4 linked regions of the Coturnix japonica genome follow. The protein of the gene in region 4 interacts with the protein of the main gene of each other region in a biochemical or structural test. Links are inferred from orthologs where the notes say so. Each region holds a gene or a part of one and is shown on either strand. Other genes may lie near its edges. The genes, in order: NEDD4L, RNF14, RNF25 and UBE2E3.

The links.
Region 1: the proteins of UBE2E3 (region 4) and NEDD4L form a complex in vitro, tested with the Homo sapiens proteins (3 studies listed by BioGRID). The link is inferred for Coturnix japonica from reciprocal best matches to the Homo sapiens genes UBE2E3 and NEDD4L.
Region 2: the proteins of UBE2E3 (region 4) and RNF14 form a complex in vitro, tested with the Homo sapiens proteins (2 studies listed by BioGRID). The link is inferred for Coturnix japonica from reciprocal best matches to the Homo sapiens genes UBE2E3 and RNF14.
Region 3: the proteins of UBE2E3 (region 4) and RNF25 form a complex in vitro, tested with the Homo sapiens proteins (2 studies listed by BioGRID, with this or other methods). The link is inferred for Coturnix japonica from reciprocal best matches to the Homo sapiens genes UBE2E3 and RNF25.

Annotation. Positions count from the first base shown.
Region 1 is NC_029547.1:653,682-657,240, reverse strand, and holds part of NEDD4L (E3 ubiquitin-protein ligase NEDD4-like), read right to left. Parts: intron 3,285-3,559; coding exon 3,211-3,284; intron 2,104-3,210; coding exon 2,043-2,103; intron 1,717-2,042; coding exon 1,657-1,716; intron 1,130-1,656; coding exon 1,022-1,129; intron 490-1,021; coding exon 393-489; intron 1-392. UniProt on the Homo sapiens protein: E3 ubiquitin-protein ligase that mediates the polyubiquitination of lysine and cysteine residues on target proteins and is thereby implicated in the regulation of various signaling pathways including autophagy, innate immunity or DNA repair.
Region 2 is NC_029528.1:1,070,950-1,075,124, reverse strand, and holds the start of RNF14 (E3 ubiquitin-protein ligase RNF14), read left to right. Parts: upstream 1-1,372; 5' UTR 1,373-1,487; intron 1,488-2,240; exon of another isoform or gene 2,241-2,374; 5' UTR 2,375-2,383; coding exon 2,384-2,537; intron 2,538-3,021; coding exon 3,022-3,167; intron 3,168-3,489; coding exon 3,490-4,011; intron 4,012-4,175. UniProt on the Homo sapiens protein: E3 ubiquitin-protein ligase that plays a key role in the RNF14-RNF25 translation quality control pathway, a pathway that takes place when a ribosome has stalled during translation, and which promotes ubiquitination and degradation of translation factors on stalled ribosomes.
Region 3 is NC_029522.1:24,278,132-24,282,342, forward strand, and holds the start of RNF25 (E3 ubiquitin-protein ligase RNF25), read right to left. Parts: upstream 2,844-4,211; 5' UTR 2,789-2,843; coding exon 2,751-2,788; intron 2,673-2,750; coding exon 2,598-2,672; intron 2,527-2,597; coding exon 2,424-2,526; intron 2,332-2,423; coding exon 2,264-2,331; intron 1,607-2,263; coding exon 1,537-1,606; intron 1,406-1,536; coding exon 1,334-1,405; intron 1,163-1,333; coding exon 1,022-1,162; intron 683-1,021; coding exon 593-682; intron 169-592; coding exon 163-168; intron 1-162. Other genes in the region: STK36 (serine/threonine-protein kinase 36), read left to right, coding at 2,959-3,042, 3,470-3,610. UniProt on the Homo sapiens protein: E3 ubiquitin-protein ligase that plays a key role in the RNF14-RNF25 translation quality control pathway, a pathway that takes place when a ribosome has stalled during translation, and which promotes ubiquitination and degradation of translation factors on stalled ribosomes.
Region 4 is NC_029522.1:12,888,614-12,892,811, forward strand, and holds the start of UBE2E3 (ubiquitin-conjugating enzyme E2 E3), read right to left. Parts: upstream 2,826-4,198; 5' UTR 2,653-2,825; intron 1,537-2,652; 5' UTR 1,528-1,536; coding exon 1,334-1,527; intron 1-1,333. UniProt on the Homo sapiens protein: Accepts ubiquitin from the E1 complex and catalyzes its covalent attachment to other proteins. In vitro catalyzes 'Lys-11'- and 'Lys-48'-, as well as 'Lys-63'-linked polyubiquitination.

The sequences.
Region 1 (3,559 bases), on a different chromosome or scaffold from region 4:
TGATCCTTGAGGTCCCCTCCAATTGGGGCCATTCTGTGATGAAGCACTAGCACAGGCTGCCCAGAGATGTGGTGAATTTCCCATATTTGGTGACATACAAGGTCAGGCTGGACAGGGCTCAGAGCAACCTGATCTAGCTATATGAGTCCCTCTTCATTGCAGGGCAGTTGGACTAGATGACCTTTAAAGGTTCCTTCCAACTCAAACGATTCTATGATTCCATGAACAGAACTTTGTTTCTCTTCCAAGCGCCCCCCAGTTTCTACAGTGCTGTTGGCATCCAGTGGGAGAAGCTCTATCTGGGAATAAATGTTGGCCATGCCTGTACTTCAGTGGTGTTTGTGCTCGCCACCTGCAGTGTGTGTTCTGTGGGCAGAGGGCAGGAAGCTCACCGTAAAGTTCAGCAAATCCGTTCATAGGCACTCGCGATGTGCCAGTAACAAACTGCAGTAAGCGAATGCGTTTTTCTGCATCCATCAGTAAAACAGCCTGTTGAGAAGCAGACAGGGTGACTTTTCATGGCTAAAGATATCTTTGTTAAAATAAGCAAAACAGAATTTATTTGTATTACGTGGTAAGAAATGGATATCTAACTTTGAAGGATGGCCTGCCACATTTTCTCTGGTTAAACAATTCCCTTCTAACAAAGAAAGTGACAATGTCTGGGCAACAGCCAGGAGCTACAACTGCCATTCATCTGTATGAGGTGACTCACTCACAAGACTTCTGGGCTAGTACAGGGAAAACTGTTCTCCTAGTTCTCCTGCAAACATACACTTTTCATAGAAGTAATGCACTTCAGAAAGATTGCAAACCACTTCAATAAAACTGGAGAGACTTTGTCAGTCTGGGTCATTCCGATACAGACTCCAGTAATGGAACTGCCATTTCCAGAATATACCAAAGTATTTTTCCGTAGTTTTTGAGAAGAAAAATGATTCAATAACTGACTTCACTGCACACTAAAGGATCTTTGACTTCTAGGAATCGTCAGAGAAACCAAACATGATAAGGGTGTTACCTTCCAGAACCACTGGATGACGGGATGATTTGGGCAGTAGCCATTTTTGTAGATCGTGTGCTGTCTCCAGTCATTAACATCGACATCACCAAGGCCACACATCAGTAACTAGATATGGAAACAATGATGTTAATCAAAGATAGTACCAGTATCACCCTGAAGGCTTCATCAGATAAACCACCTCTCCCTCTGTTGCCTGGTCTCTCAAACAGTTAATGCTGTACAAATACAAATACAGACATAAAGTGGCACTGAGCTTCTCTTCAGGACAATTCTCAAGGATAACCCCACTTTACTGGAGAAACACTATGCAATATGAAGTATGTATGCTTCATGTGATGGCATCTTTTACAGCACATTTGCTGAAAACATGGCCAGTATATGTCATTAACTCAGCAAACTACTTGCATTCTTTATGTATGCATGTACTAAACCACCTCAGTGAGTAACTGATACTTTTTGTACTTTTACTTGATTGAGAGATTTATTATTCTGGGCAAAAAAAATCCTCATTTCCCACTAAAACAAAGAACCTTTTTCTCCAAACTCCATGATGACCTAATGAATTGAGAACATAATGCATCTCTGCAATGGGCATTACCAATCTGTCATCTCTCGACATCAAGCAAACTCACCTCTAGTTCATTTTCATCAAAAATTTTAATCAGATCGATAGGAAGAAGCTCTGTGAATCCCTAGGAGAAAAAGTAAAATCAGTAAACTATGTGTAATTACGTGGTTTTTTTTTTCTTCTGATAGAACCTTTGCCTTCAGGGAAAGCTGTTAGCTAAGTGATGGAGGGCAAAGAAGGGTTTGGAAAATGAAATATACAGTTCCTGAAGTATTGAGTCTCTAATTTAAAAACTGCTATTTCGAGCTCAAATAATGTCAACTTGAATGAGAATGATCTTATGAGTAACAGAACCTGTGTGGTCATGCACAGCTTCCCACTCCCGTAACCAGGCACTGCTGTATGCCTACATAATTTGGGTAAAGAAAAGGACAAAAAGGAGAACCTTACCTCCAAAAAAGCATTCATTTGTTTTTGAACTCTGTTTACAAACCTCCACTGGATGACCAGGCTGTGGGAGATAACAAACATAAACACATTCATTAGAAGACTAATTTGCAACCCTAACAATATCAGCTTCTCATTTACAACTTTAGGAACCTCTCAGTCATATTCTTATGTTTGAGATACTGAGTTGCTTTTTATTAAATTATACAGCCTACAAATTCATTACTATGTTCTATTCTAAGCAAGATTGTAGTCTAGACCCCAGGTAATGTACTTACTGTTTGAAATAAGTATCTAAACGATGAGACTTTTCCTATTATTCTAGAGCTCTAAGCAGATTTGTAACTACAACTGCAGTTTCTCTCCTTTTCTCTTTTTCTCTTCTTTTTCTTTCCTTGTGCACCAACTAGAACTCCTTAATCATAACATAACTCTTGGGAAAAGCATTGGAAAAAATTAAACTGCATCAAATGTTTGGAAATGAGTACACAGTAATCCTCTTAAAGGAGTACTTAAACACGTGCAGAGTTCCTGAACCCTTCCTTGAATAAAAACTGAAGGGAAAGCAAATGTGACCTCAGCAACGTGACGTCCTATTTTCACTCTTTTCTCTTGTTAGTTTACTGTTCTGTTCTGCACTTATTCTTCATTTGCATTCCATGATAGCACTTCAGCAGGAAAAACTGCAGCCCAGGGTGGAAATTCACCACTTAGGAGACCTACAAAGCAGAGGCCGCCAGTGCACAAAGTGAGGCATGAAATTGGGCCAGATTCATATCCTGCTGTAACACTGTAGTTCTTGTACCCATGAAAGGCCATTTTTTTTCATCAGTTTTGGAGGGTGCTCAGAATGAGTAACTTAGACTGGTGTCTGCAGTCATTCAGGGCAATTCCATACCTCCTTGAATGCTCCTTATGCCAGCGCATCAATACTGTTTCCTACTACATGACATAGGCTGCCATAATTACAGTAGTTCATCGAACAGCAAAGGTTAAAATCCAAACTTTCTAGGAATGCAGTGTAAACAAACAAACCATGTTAACACAGGGATTTTCTTTTGAAAGGATGTCTGACAATCTCTGTGTTACAATAACTGCGGTGGGGTAAATTCCAAAGCATTACCACTGTGTGTTGTGAAGCTCAGGGTGAACTCTACAAATATATACGTACTCAATGTATTCCCTTTTGTTCTCATTTGTTACCATGATTTCTGACCCATTTGGCTTCAGGTCGACTTGATACGTCTGTATTTTAAAGAAAAAAATAGAATAAAACAGGGCATTATTTCAGGACACATTCCTCATGAAATCCACCACCCATGAGAGGTATTTTACAAGCAGTACTAGAAAAATATCACACATCAATAGCTAATGAGACATCAAAATATTTCATGTTTAAGGGTGACATAATTAGGGAGAAATTATTCTACGGTCACTCTTAAGAATAAATTATTTTCCAACTTCTATTGCAAAACAGTAGGTAAAACTGGGCGAAGAAAAAACATCCTCCCATTTTCATA
Region 2 (4,175 bases), on a different chromosome or scaffold from region 4:
GCTCGGTCAGACCAGCAGTATTTCTTGCCATAGTGATTGTAGCTAGAGGCTTCTGATATTGTTACTGCACCTGCAGAAGCAGCCACGAGCTGTCTCCATGTTAAAGCATGTTCATGCTGAGTCAGTCTTGTTTTGAGAAGGGAGACTGCAAACGCTGTAGTCCAGTTTTCCATGCTGTTCACAGCAGTGCTCATCAGGAAATGCCACTAATGGTAGGATGGTGAGACAGGGATGGGGAGGGAGGCTGCTCCTCAGGGCCTGCAGCATCCTCTATCTGCTTACCTTAGTCTAGCCTGCATTTAAGCATTAACACACCTCTAGGTTTATCTTTACCTGCACCTGAACAGCTCATACTGCCACGAGGTTAGTGGTTAGTGTTCCCATTACCTTTATTCCTTAGTGGGCATCATCACATCACTGATAGCCCCAAATCAGGTTCATTTACCTGCTCTGTAGAATAGCAGCTGTACGCTCCTAACAGCTCAGCCATGGATGTGCTCTAACCATGAAGTAGACGCCCAGGTTAGTTACATGAGCGCTGCCTGCAGCTCGGGGGGTGCTCATAGAAGGAGGGCTGTGTTTCAGCTGCCCGCACTGAGCGCTGACTGATGCCTTCCCAACTCCTTGCAGGGCTGTGCTTGCTGCCATGAGGCCTTCATTTGGAATGCTTGGTTTTCTTCTTTTCCAGGAACAAAGCGTTTTCATTTTCTATGAGTTTTCTGCAGTAATTTGCTTCTAGTACTGATTGTCATTAAACTTGCAAACATGAATTTGTATGTGTTAAAGCTGACGTTGAAACACAGTTCAGCTGTTGGAAGAAATAAATGCACTGGATTCTACTGGATGACTCTGACTGTCTGAAGCCGTTGATTGTGAGGAGAAGTAATGATGGTGTCGGGGGGTGTGAGCGCGGTCTCCTTATTGCCGCTGTTCCAGGAGGCGGGGATGGGTTACGGGTGTGTTATTGGGGTGGGCTACGGGTGTGTTATTGGGGTGGGTTACGGTGTGTTATTGGGGTGGGTTACGGTGCGTTATTGGGGTGGGTTACGGTGCGTTATTGGGGTGGGTTACGGTGTGTTATTGGGGTGGGAGTGGAGCTGAGCTCCGGCTGCAGCTGTTGGTTCGGGCGGAGCTGATGGCGGGGCAGCACAGCTGCACCTGGCGCTGTTTTGCAGCTGTTGTCGTGGCTCCCGTCCATGCGGGGCAGCTCCTGCCGCCTTCCCCGGCCGCGTGCGCTCAGTGACCGCATGGTGCGGGGCGGTACCGGCCCCGCCGAGGGACCCCGCGTTCCTCCCGGCCGCAGGGGGCGCTGTGGGGACGCGGAGCGGGGCGGGCGGAGCCGGGCGCTCTGCGCTGTCAGCAGCGCGGCGGGGCCGGGCCGGGTCGGGGCCTCCGCCCTCAGCCGCTCCTTCCCGGTCCGTCCTTCCCGTCCGCCGCGGTGCCGGCAGCGCCACGTTCCGCGTCCGCCGGGCCGCCACGAGACTGAGGTAACGGGGGGAGCCGTGCCGGAAGAGCGGGCCGTGCCGTGCCGTACTGTGCTGTGCTGTGCTGTGCCGTGCTGTGCTGTAATGTGCCGAGCCGTACTGTGCCGTACTGTGCCGAGCCGTACTGTGCCGTGCCGTGCCGGCTTCGCCGGGACCCGGGTGCTGCGGGCGCCCCGTGCGGCCTCGGCTCCGCCTGGCGCCGTCACTGCGGCCTCGTATCCCGGCCGTGCCGTGCGGAGCGTGTCCGGGCGGCTTCTCTTCCCGGCTGCCTTCGGTTCCGTTCCTGCTCGGTGCGGGCGGTGCCGATCGGACCCGCCCGGGTGCGGCGTGTGTCTGTGCTGAGGGGACTTTGACCCTCCGCTCCGTGCCCGCTCGCTGACAGTGCGCTCCGTGTATTTGTGCGTGCCGCGCTCCGGGCTGGGGACGGATCCGCAGCTGTGCGGGGAATTGCGGCGCCTCCTGCCGGACGCAGCGCGGCTCGGAGCTTCCAGCTGAGACCTGCGGCGCTTCTCTCATCGCTTTATAGAGCGCTGCTCCAGCCGTTCTGTCACTAACTCGGTTCCGTTCTCTTCCGCTCCGTTCTCCCTTCCAGACGCCGTGCCATGTCCCGCTGCCGCTTTCCTTTATCTCTCTGCTGTTCCCGCAGCTGCTCTCGGCCGCTGGGCACCGTTTGCTTTTTGCCTCCTCCACGTTCTGTGGGTGTTCCCCATGGTGTAAATAAAGCTCCCAGCACTTCTCAACTCGGAGACAAAGCCTGACTCTGTCCTATGCTCCCACTGCTTACTTTGGGTCCTGACTCTTCCTGTGGAGGTGTAAAACAGACCCAGACGTGTAGTTTGGATGGGACGCGTTAACTCGGTTGATGCTGTAGAGTGGTGTTAATTCCACAGACCATTTAAATGTCTTCAGAGGACAGAGAAGCTCAGGAGGACGAGCTGTTGGCGCTGGCCAGCATCTACGATGAAGATGAGTTTAAGAGAGCGGAGTCGGCACAGGGAGGAGAGACCAGGATTTGTTTGGAACTGCCCCAGAACTTCAGAGTTGTTGTGAGCGGTGAGTTGTGATGGCTGCTCTTGTCTTTACGTTCACTTTGACCAGGTGATTTTCTGGGGCCTCCCCAGCTGCTCCCATGAGCTGTAGGGATATTTACCTGACGGAGCCGTGTGGGACCCCTCCTTGTGTCCATCGCTGGGGTTGGTGTCGGGGAGGGCACTCAGCCTTTTGGATGCAGCCTCTCCATAGAGCTTCAAAGTCAGAGCTCAGTCATGGTGTTTCTTTGGGGTAATCAAGTCAATATATTTATTATTCCCCTGGGGGTGTTTTCCTTGCACTTGGCTCCTGCAGGATCTGCTATTTCACAGCACTGCTGTGTATTGGTTTAACCCCATACAACCTCATGGCACTTTACTGCACCATTATTTGGTGTTGAATGAATCACTTTAAACTGAGAAGTCTATCAAACATACAGAGGGGTCGCGTGTGCCGTCCTTTGGTTCTCACCTCTTTGTGATGTCTCACCCTGTCTCCATTGGCTCAGGCATTTCTGCAGAGAGTCCGCAGAGCTTTGAATACACCGTTCACTTTCTGCCTCCACTCGTGCTGAATTTTGAGCTCCCACCAGACTACCCGTCATCCTCCCCGCCTGCCTTCACTCTCAGCAGCAAATGGCTCTCCCCAGCACAGGTTTGCAGATCAGTTCTAACATTATAGCAGAGCTTTTGTGGTCATGAGTGTATAATTAACACCATTAGCTGTGGTGGATGTCAGTATAGTAGATGCAGTTATGATGTACGTGGTGACGTCTCTTTTTCTTGGCTCTTTTGTTTCCTAGCTGTTCTTACTTGGTTACCCTTCTGACAGTTCAGTGTGTGCCTTACGAGGCGCTATTTCTATGTCTTTTATGTATTACCCATCAGTTCCACAATTTGAGGTGTAGGTTTGCACCATGGGAGCTGTCACGAGTCCCCAGGACTCACTGAAGTCTGCACTGGTTTCTCTTTCCCAGCTCAGCGCTCTTTGTGAGCATTTAGACAACTTATGGGAAGAAAACCGAGGCTGTGTGGTCCTGTTTGCCTGGATGCAGTTTCTGAAGGAAGAAACGTTGAATTACCTGAATATTTCATCCCCATACGAGCTCAAAATGCGCCAACAAGGGAGTACATGGGGCAGGACGCCTTCGGTGCCTCAGGATGCCAAGGACTGTGTTGGTGCAGTGGGCTGTGCTGCGGCTGAAGAAGGAATTGATAAGAGAGCTGTACAGGACGTGGAATCTTTGTCCAGCCTGATTCGGGAGATCCTGGACTTTGATCAGGCTCAGAGAAGGAAGTGCTTTAACAGTAAGATGTACATGTGCAATATTTGCTTCTGTGAGAAGCTGGGCAGTGAATGTATGTACTTCACCGAGTGCAGCCATGTGTACTGCAAAGCCTGCCTGAAGGACTACTTTGAAATTCAGATCAGGGATGGGCAGGTCCACTGCCTCAACTGTCCAGAACCCAACTGTTCTTCTGTTGCTACTCCTGGTCAGGTAAGGGCTGTGCTGAACCCAGTCTGGGTTATCATGGCGAATACACACAGGGAAATTCTTTCTCTGAGCCACACAGATTCCTCCAGGTTATAACTGGATTATCAGGTACATATTTTGCCTGCTGGCAAAATGGTGGCACTGAACTGATGTCCTGTTATATTTGG
Region 3 (4,211 bases), about 11 Mb from region 4:
CAACATCTGACCCACTGAGCCTACAGATTCACGTGTAGTACTTACACAGAGAGAGGGAACACCCACTATTCCCTGACTTAGGGCCTCCTGCTTTGGAGCAAGATGCAGAGCAGCTAAAAACGAAGAACCCCAGAACTCACCACACAAGCTGGAGTCACTCACCTGAAACTGATAACATCTCAGTGGGTACAGGGACATATTTAAGAAAACCTACAGTTATTCTCTTAGAGCAGAGAGAACATAGAAAATCAAGCACTCAGTACTTGATGGCAGAATTGCCTCTCTCTCCCACCATATCTGCTTGCTTTGGAGAGTAAGCCAACAACACTACATATCCTCACTGCCTCCATATGCAACAGCTACATATCTTTTGCTTCCCTCTGCCTTTATCACACAGAAGGGCTGCAGTGGTCCCCCCTCTGAACAGAGCACAAGATGGAATTTGTATGTTTGTGTGTTTTCCGAGAGTAACTGGCAGAGCACATTAATCAGCTCCAGCAGACACTGTTTGTTCATGGATAAAATGTCCCAGATGACATTTTAGCTACCCAGAGAGTGGACACAGCCAGGCAGATGAATCCCCATCTCTTACCAGTGGGTGCTGTGGTGGTGGCGCTGCCTTCAGGGCACAGAGGTCATAAATCAAGGTTTCCCGGCAGACAGGGCACTGCACGCCGACTTTCTGCAGGGAGGTGAGAGGTGAAACCCTAGGCAGCAGCCCAGCCCATATACATCGAGAGAATCCCCAGGGTGGAAGTGAAACAAACAGGGCAGCCTACTTCAGCTAAACACAAGCACTTTTCTACTAAGGCAGGGAGGCCCAGGGGGATTCCAGTTTCTAATTATGATTGGAAAGGGCTCCTGGGGCTCATTTGGTCCAATCTCCACTGATTCTCTCAACACAGGCACCATGCTAACCATGCTGCACATGGCTGCTGAGTCAGGCTGGCCTTTGTTCCACATCCCACAGGGAGTGACAGAGAACTCATGAGGGCCTGTGCAGGGGATCAAAGCCAAATACCTGTTTGGGGGAAGGTGCCAGGTGCTGTTCTCTCTCCTCCTGCTGCATAAGAATCTCCTCCTCCATGTGCTGTGCATAGCGGGCCAGGCAGTGTGAGTGAAAGTAGTGGTAGCACTGGGTCTTTGTGAAGGCTTCTCTCTCCTGTGGAGGAAAAAGGGTGTTCACAGGGTGTTCCCAGCACCGAGCTGAGGTGGGTTTTCATTCCCATGTCAGCAGGGATGTTATTGATGGCAGAAATACATAGCTTCTCCCACTGGGCTTCATCTGACTCACTTCTCAGCCAGCACGAAGAGCTGGAATATGTATTCCTACCTGGAATCCATAGAGGCAGATCACACACTGGCCATGAGGAATATTGTTGTCAGTGAGAATCTCCTTCCCCTTCTGTCAAAGCAGAAAAGCAAGCATTTTTCTCACTGGCCTCCACATGGGCCCAGACTCAGGGCTCTCCCACCTCAAAGGGAGTCAAAGAATGGTGTGCGTATCTGGCTGCCTCCCTTCTCCCCAGCTCTCACCTCAATCAGCTCATACAGCACCTCTGTCCCCAGCCTGGCTTCAGCAACATTTCTGAGGGTCTGTAAAATCCTACAGCAAAGCAGCACAAATACTTAACACAAACTTTGCCACACCTTTTCACTCTTCCACACGCCTGTCATCACCCCACCATGATAACAAGAGAAATAAAAAGAACGCCATCCACCAGGCTTTGCCTACAGTGTAGGATGAGCGCGGATGCAAGCACATATTCCCGTGCTCTAAGGTTTTGTTGATCTGGTGGGAGCAACTTTAATGCCGTGCATTGACTGGTATCTGGATCTCTGCTGCACCAACAACGGGAGCACAAAGGCAGCAGCAGGCTGTGTGAAGACTGAAATGAGTTGCAGTGATGTCTCTGTCAGACCTGGATCAACATCTCTGAAGGCCTGAGAGACTTCAGTTTACGTTTCAGGTGGACCACAAGGGAACAAACCATTCCTCAGCATCAAAGCTGACATAAAGCTTAACTCAAGGTGATTGGAGAGCTGTATGTATGTGTTAAGCTGACAGGGCACCCTAGAGGCATAAAGAGAAGGCTCTACAGCACTGTTAACACCACCACTCTGCTCTCCTCCCTCTTAGCACTCACACACAATCACAGAATGACCCGGGTTGGAAGGGACCTCAAGGATCATGTAGTTCCAACCCCCCTGCCTGGCAGGGCCACCAAACATACACATTTACTAGACCAGGTTGCCCACTCACTTCTGGATCTGCTCATCCGACAGCCCCCGTGGGTTGCTGATGGAGATGTCCGGAGCCTCGTTGGGATACTAGAAAACAAAACCAAGCAACAAAACCCCAAACGCACCGAGAAAAGCAGAGATAAGGGGCAGCAAGGGGCCCGGTCGGGATGGGAGCCTACCTGGGGGGGCACGGCCAGCACCAGCGTGCAGCGAACGAACTGGGAGTCCTGGTCCTGGGCCGTGGCGGGGTGCAGGGTGATGCTCAGCTCCCAGGGCTCGGCCCTAAGGGCGGGCAGAGATAAGAGATAAGGGGCGGCCGGGAGCAGGGCCGGGGAGCGAGGCCCGGTACGTACCTCGCGCTGCCCCGCACCACCCGCAGCTCCTCCAGGTAGATGGACTCCAGCACCTCCACCTCGGCCGGCAGCGCCCTGCGGAGCACCGAGCGGTCAGGAAGCCACAAGCAGCAGCCCCGGGGAAAGGCAGGGAGGGACAGGGGGATCCATTACCAGTCCGCCGCCTCCGCCTCCTCGCCGGCCGCCGCCATCTTCACGGCCGACCCGGATGCGGAAGGCCTCAGCTGTTGCTAGGCGATGTGGCGGCGCGGCCTGTAACCGCGTTGTACTGCGGCCCCACGGCCTGTAACAGCGTTATACTGCGGCCTTAAATCGTCGGTCCGTGTTGTGAGGAACCTCGGCCCGACCCCGGAGCTCCGCCATGGAGAGGTACCATGTGCTGGAGGTGATCGGAGAAGGCTCCTTCGGACGGGTGTACAAGGGGCGGCGGAGGTGCAGCGCCCAGGTGAGGAGAGAGATGGGTCTCTATAAAGAGCCCGGCTCTATCTTAGAAGCCTCCTGCCAGACACCGGGTTAATAAAGCTCAGCCCCCCCAGTTTCAGCTTGTATGCCCTGTTATCAGCCACCTTGCTACCCTGGTGCCCCAGCTAGGACCGCTCCTGTTTGTCAGTGCACTTCTGGACCAAAAAATGGCCACTGTAGCCTAAAAGTAATAAGAAAAGGGCAATAATCTCTTCCTTTAGAAGACAGCCTGTAGTCCTGCTCACACAGCTCAGGTACTGAGTACTGAGTACTTATACTCCTTGCTCCGGCCCTATGAACGTGTCTTGTTCTGTGTGTTCACCTAGAAAATAATGAGTCCCGCTTGGGTTAAATGCAGCCCCTGCCAACGCGGGCAGGACACTGCTCTGATCCCAGCTTTGCTTTGGAAGGTGGTGGCTCTGAAATTCATCCCCAAGGTGGGGCGGTCTGAGAAGGAGCTGAAGAATCTGCAGCGGGAAATTGAGATTATGAGAGGTCTCCGTCATCCTAACATCATCCAGATGCTCGACAGCTTTGAGACTGATAAAGAGGTAATGGGACCCGTGCAGGGCAGGTACTTTTGCTTGGTGGGGTGGGGGCGTGGGCTGTCATCTGCTGTCACCTCTGCCTCAGGAGATGCTGGTGACAATATTCCAGGGCTCTAGCAGCATTTCTATCTAACCAGGTTTTTTCAGTGCCCAGCTGTATCTCCACTCTTGTTGAGTGCTGCAGACCTGCCACCAGGTATTCTACTCCCTCAGGTGGTTTAATTGGGAACTCCTGCTCTATGGACACGGAGAGACCTTATGAGGGAATAGACTTAGGATTGTGACCCGGCCTAATGATTGATATTTGTCTGAGCCCTCCAGTAATTGGGCAGTAGATAAAAAATATGCTCAAGGGAGTGATTCTACCACTGGGCTCAGAAATACCATTATATGCTTATCCTGTTCCTTTACACTTCCCTGACTTCTGCTGCGTGTTTATATGGGACATTGGTAATCACAGCCTGAACCTCTGATTAATCAGCTGAGCCAAGTGTCGGGTCAGGTGTGGGAGCACAGTTGAGAGTAATTTAGCTGTGCTCCCAGAAGGGGTGAAGCTTGACTCCACCTCCTCTAGACCTCATTTAAGGGCTGACCACCACTAAGG
Region 4 (4,198 bases):
CAAGGCAATTTCCTCTTTTAAATGTCAAATCAAACAAACAAACAAAACTGCACAACAAAACCCACGCGAGCAAGACTGCTTTTTTATGTGCATAGCAAGTGTAGAACATGAGCTGACAGGGACTGCCCCAAAAGCCCATGCACCATTTCTATTAAGCCCAACCATGCTACTGAACTACTGGATTAACCAAAACAAAGGTAAGAGGAGAAAACTCAGCTGTGAGCCTCTACATGATGTACCTCAGGCACTAAAAAGAACACAAAGCCTAACAATAAATTACAAAGTCTACACTGTTTCCAGAACTTTTCCTTCTGCAGCCAAGTCCTATTCCAAAGGGTTTCTTTAACAAACTCAGAAGTCATCAGTCACCCAGTCACATTCTGCAATAATTCTGAGACACTGCAAAATGTATTTACTGAGTTTAAGTACAGTGCAAAGTTACTACAACGTTCCTCAAAGTCTGAGCTACTGTATTTGGGCTGGATAAGCAAAACTCGAGGCTAATGTGGCTTTCGCACAGTGTATTTGTAAATGTTTGTAAAGAAAGGGAACTCCAGGGAAAAGACTGAAAGTTGTGTTTCATCTCAGAAGACAACTGGGATTGAGGGAATTAAAGTTTGCTTTATTTCACACAGCTGAACTTACAGAAAATAATTAGCACGCATGTCTTGAGAGCTGGACTGCCAGTAACCTTGTGTGTAAACAAAAACGCAGCAGATAAAACTAGACAAGGTTTCCTGAGATTCTGATACTTAGAGGCTACACTTGAAGAACCCTATGGTTGGAATCCATGGATCCCACAAGAGACCATTTGCCTGACTTTCTCCAGAAAGCACTGCAGGACAGAACAGTGACTTTAAGGTGCACAGGGCTCTACTGCAATCATAAGGCCTTCAGAATCCACGAGGCTTTTGTGACTTCTGTAATTAAAGAGTACTGTCATTGCACTGCAGCCTGCACTGAAATACACCAGAAAGATCCACCCTATACCAACAAGGTATGTAAACCTGTCTCTGCAAACCAGACACCTGAAGCTTATGCTTTCTCACTCATTTTAACAAATATGAGAGGCACACAGGTGCCCCATGACCAGCCTGAGAGTTAGCAAGTTTTCCAACAACTCCAAAGAAACACGGCCAGCCCGCGTATTAGTGCCCCAGAGGATTTGGACTGGTGAAGGTCCTTCCCAGCAGACCAGCATGCTACAGAATTTTGTACTGTGCTATTTCCCACGTGGCTTTAAAGCAATCCCTCTGCCTTGGGAAGTGCAGTGCAACACTGCGAGTCCACACACCGTGCAAAACCGCTACAGGACGCTGGATGCCACAAGTACCTTTTAGCACTAGTAGATAGCTTAGCAGTAGTTTTGCTGGAGAGTTTGGTGTTCTTCTTCTGTTGGGTGGCAGAGGGTTTCCTTTCCTCCTGCTCCTCAGGTTCAGGTGCCGGGGGGTCCCTCTGGTCAGCATCTGAGCTGCCGCTGCTGGTACTGGGGCTCTCATCATCTGACCTCTGCCTGTCACTGGACATCGTGGGGAACTTGTGGGGAAGGAGGAGAAGAGGCAGTTACTACAGCACGCAGGTCACCCCTCGCCGTCCTGAGCTCTGAAGAACACTTTGGTTGTCGATAACTCTATTTCATGGAGAAACCCACCAGGATCCTCTTCTTTGTCTCATCCGCCAGGGCTGCAACTTGACAGCCACACCACAACATTTACACTTCGGAAAACACCGGCATTTCCCATTTTTAAACCCACTCGCATTTTTGTCATGCTTCAAACAATATGCCAATTGTCGGCTTGGTTCTGAGGCACAGACAGATTGAGCAGGGCACTTAGGAAACGCACATTAATAACTTATGACACATTGTAAATAACAGACCTCCCTGGGAATGTTTTTTAAGGAGTCACCGATACCCTGTAAATATTTACACTGGAACGGAGCGTTTTATTGGGTCCAAACGCCTGATCCCCCCTCAACCCCTCTCTCGGAGGAGCTCCATTGCCAATGAGACTCGGGCTGCTATCAGACCGAAGCATACACTTGCTCTGTGCATTTAAAGGGCTGGGCGGGGGGGGGGGGGGGGGGGGGGGAGGTGGGGGGGGGAGGGAGAACGCGGGTTGTTTGTTTTTAAAGGAAAACCCCCGCGGAACCCGCAGAAGATGCGTCGGGAGCAACTCGGGAAGCGGCAGCCCCACTGCCCGCCGGCAGATCCGCATTGGGCCCCCGCAGGGCCGCCGGGGGGGAGGCAGCCCGCAGCCGCCCGCACCTTCCGCGTCGCCCTCTCGCCCCCCCGCCCCGCTCCGACATGGTGGCGGCGGGGGGAGGGGGCTGCCCGGTGGCCGGGAGCCGCGGTGGGGCCGGGGGCGGCCGCGCTTTGTGGGGTGAGCCCGGCGCGGCGCGGCAGGCGGCGGCTCGGCTCGGCCGGCCCCGCTCCACTCGGCTCGGCCCCGCTCGGCGCCGCGCGTGTGTGTGCACCAAGTGAGGCGTGAACTCGGCCGGCCCCGCGCCCCCGGCCGCCGGCAGGCAGCGAGCGCCGAAAACAAGAACAAAGCTCCTCGGCGGCCCCCCCGCTCCTCCCCGCCTCCCCCCACCGCGCTCGCCCAGCCGCCGCCGCCGCCGCCGCCGCAGCCGCCTCGCCCGCCTCTCGCTTACCTTCGCCGGCGTCCTGTCCCGCTGCTGGGTCGGAGGGGCGGGATGGCGGGGGGCCGGGCCGGGCCCGCGGCGCCCGAGGAGGGGACGGAGACGGCCGGGGGGCTCTACGGCGGCGGCGGCGGCTCTGTGGCCGGGCGGTGTGGAACATTGAGAGCCGGAGCAGGGGGGGACGGGGGGAGGCGCGGTGCGGCCCCGCGGCCGGCGGGTGGCGCTGGCGGGCCCCGCTCTGCGGCGCGGGCTCCCGCGGCGGGCCGGGGGGCCGGGGCGGGGGGCGGCGGGCGCGCGCCGCCGGGGGCGGGGGAGAAGGTCCGGGGTTGGGGAGAGGGGGGGGGAGACCGGCCGCCCCCGGCCGCCGCCGCTGTGCCGGGCTGCAGCCGACAGCGGGGGAGGGGACGGGAGAGCAGAGGGGGCGCTCGCTCCCGCCTGGCGGCCAGCAGAGCGCGCCCCCCTCCGGGCTGGGGTGCGCGCAGGCGCTCTCCCGCCGCGGCCGAGGGCGCGCGTGCTCCGGGCCGGGCAAGGACAAAGCGGCGGCGCGCGGGTGGACCTCGACGGCTGCTGTGCGCGGCGGGGCACGGCGCGATCCTGCACAGCTCCTGAGTGTGGGCACCGCCAGAATCATCAGCACTTCGGTGCCCTCCGCCGGCCGTCCCGGCTGCAGCTCCGCCGCCCGCGGGGTCTGACAGCGGTGTTACAGCCGCCTCGTGCCCCGCTCCTCGATCCACGCGTCCAAGTGATGGCCGGCACTGTGTGCGGTCATGGTGGTTTATTCCAAATTAGAAACACAATTAGGAGTTGCACCGTATGCATCTACGTGCCGAGTTCTGACTGTTATCACAGAGGGAAGGGGGTAGTCTGTATCAGTGGCTGTGTAGGATGGTGGTTGAATTTCTTCCCAGGCCCATCACAGCCGCACCTGAGGAGCTGTGGTCAGTGTGCAGTAAGAGCCATCCACCAATTAGAGTAATGTGAATATTCCAAAGTGATCCTGGAGCAATAAAACCCACCTGTAAAAGAAGCGTTAACTATTTGTGATAAGTACCTGTGCTGCAGATTACAGGGTCCAGCAGAGGGGAAATGAGCAATGCGGTTTGAGTTCTGTTATAGAAATGGACGCAAAACCGCTGTCCAGCAGCTGGGCTTCACCTCAGCACTGTGCACCTCGAGGGCTTTCCTTGCCAATAGTCCAAGGGCTTCAAGCCTCTCTGCTTAAGTTTAGCAGGATCGAGAGGCCACAGGTTGCGTTCTGTAGGAGCTGAACGGTGCGTCAGGGGGTTCTGTTCTCTGGGTAGCTGGAATTAGCTCAGCTGAACAGTATGCTGAAGGTTCCGTGGGTGAGCTGAGTGAAATGGTGGGGAGGAATACCGGAGGTTTGTTTGTTAAAGTGGGCTATAGAGAATTCCCAGATCACCACTACAAGCGATTTGCCCCTGAGGTATGCTGTAGAAAATTCTTTGCATAAACAGTATCTGGCATGATGAGCAATCTGGGCATAATTAGTAAAAGGGAAGTGTGGCAATATCAAAAATCTATCAGTCAGCAGTAAAAC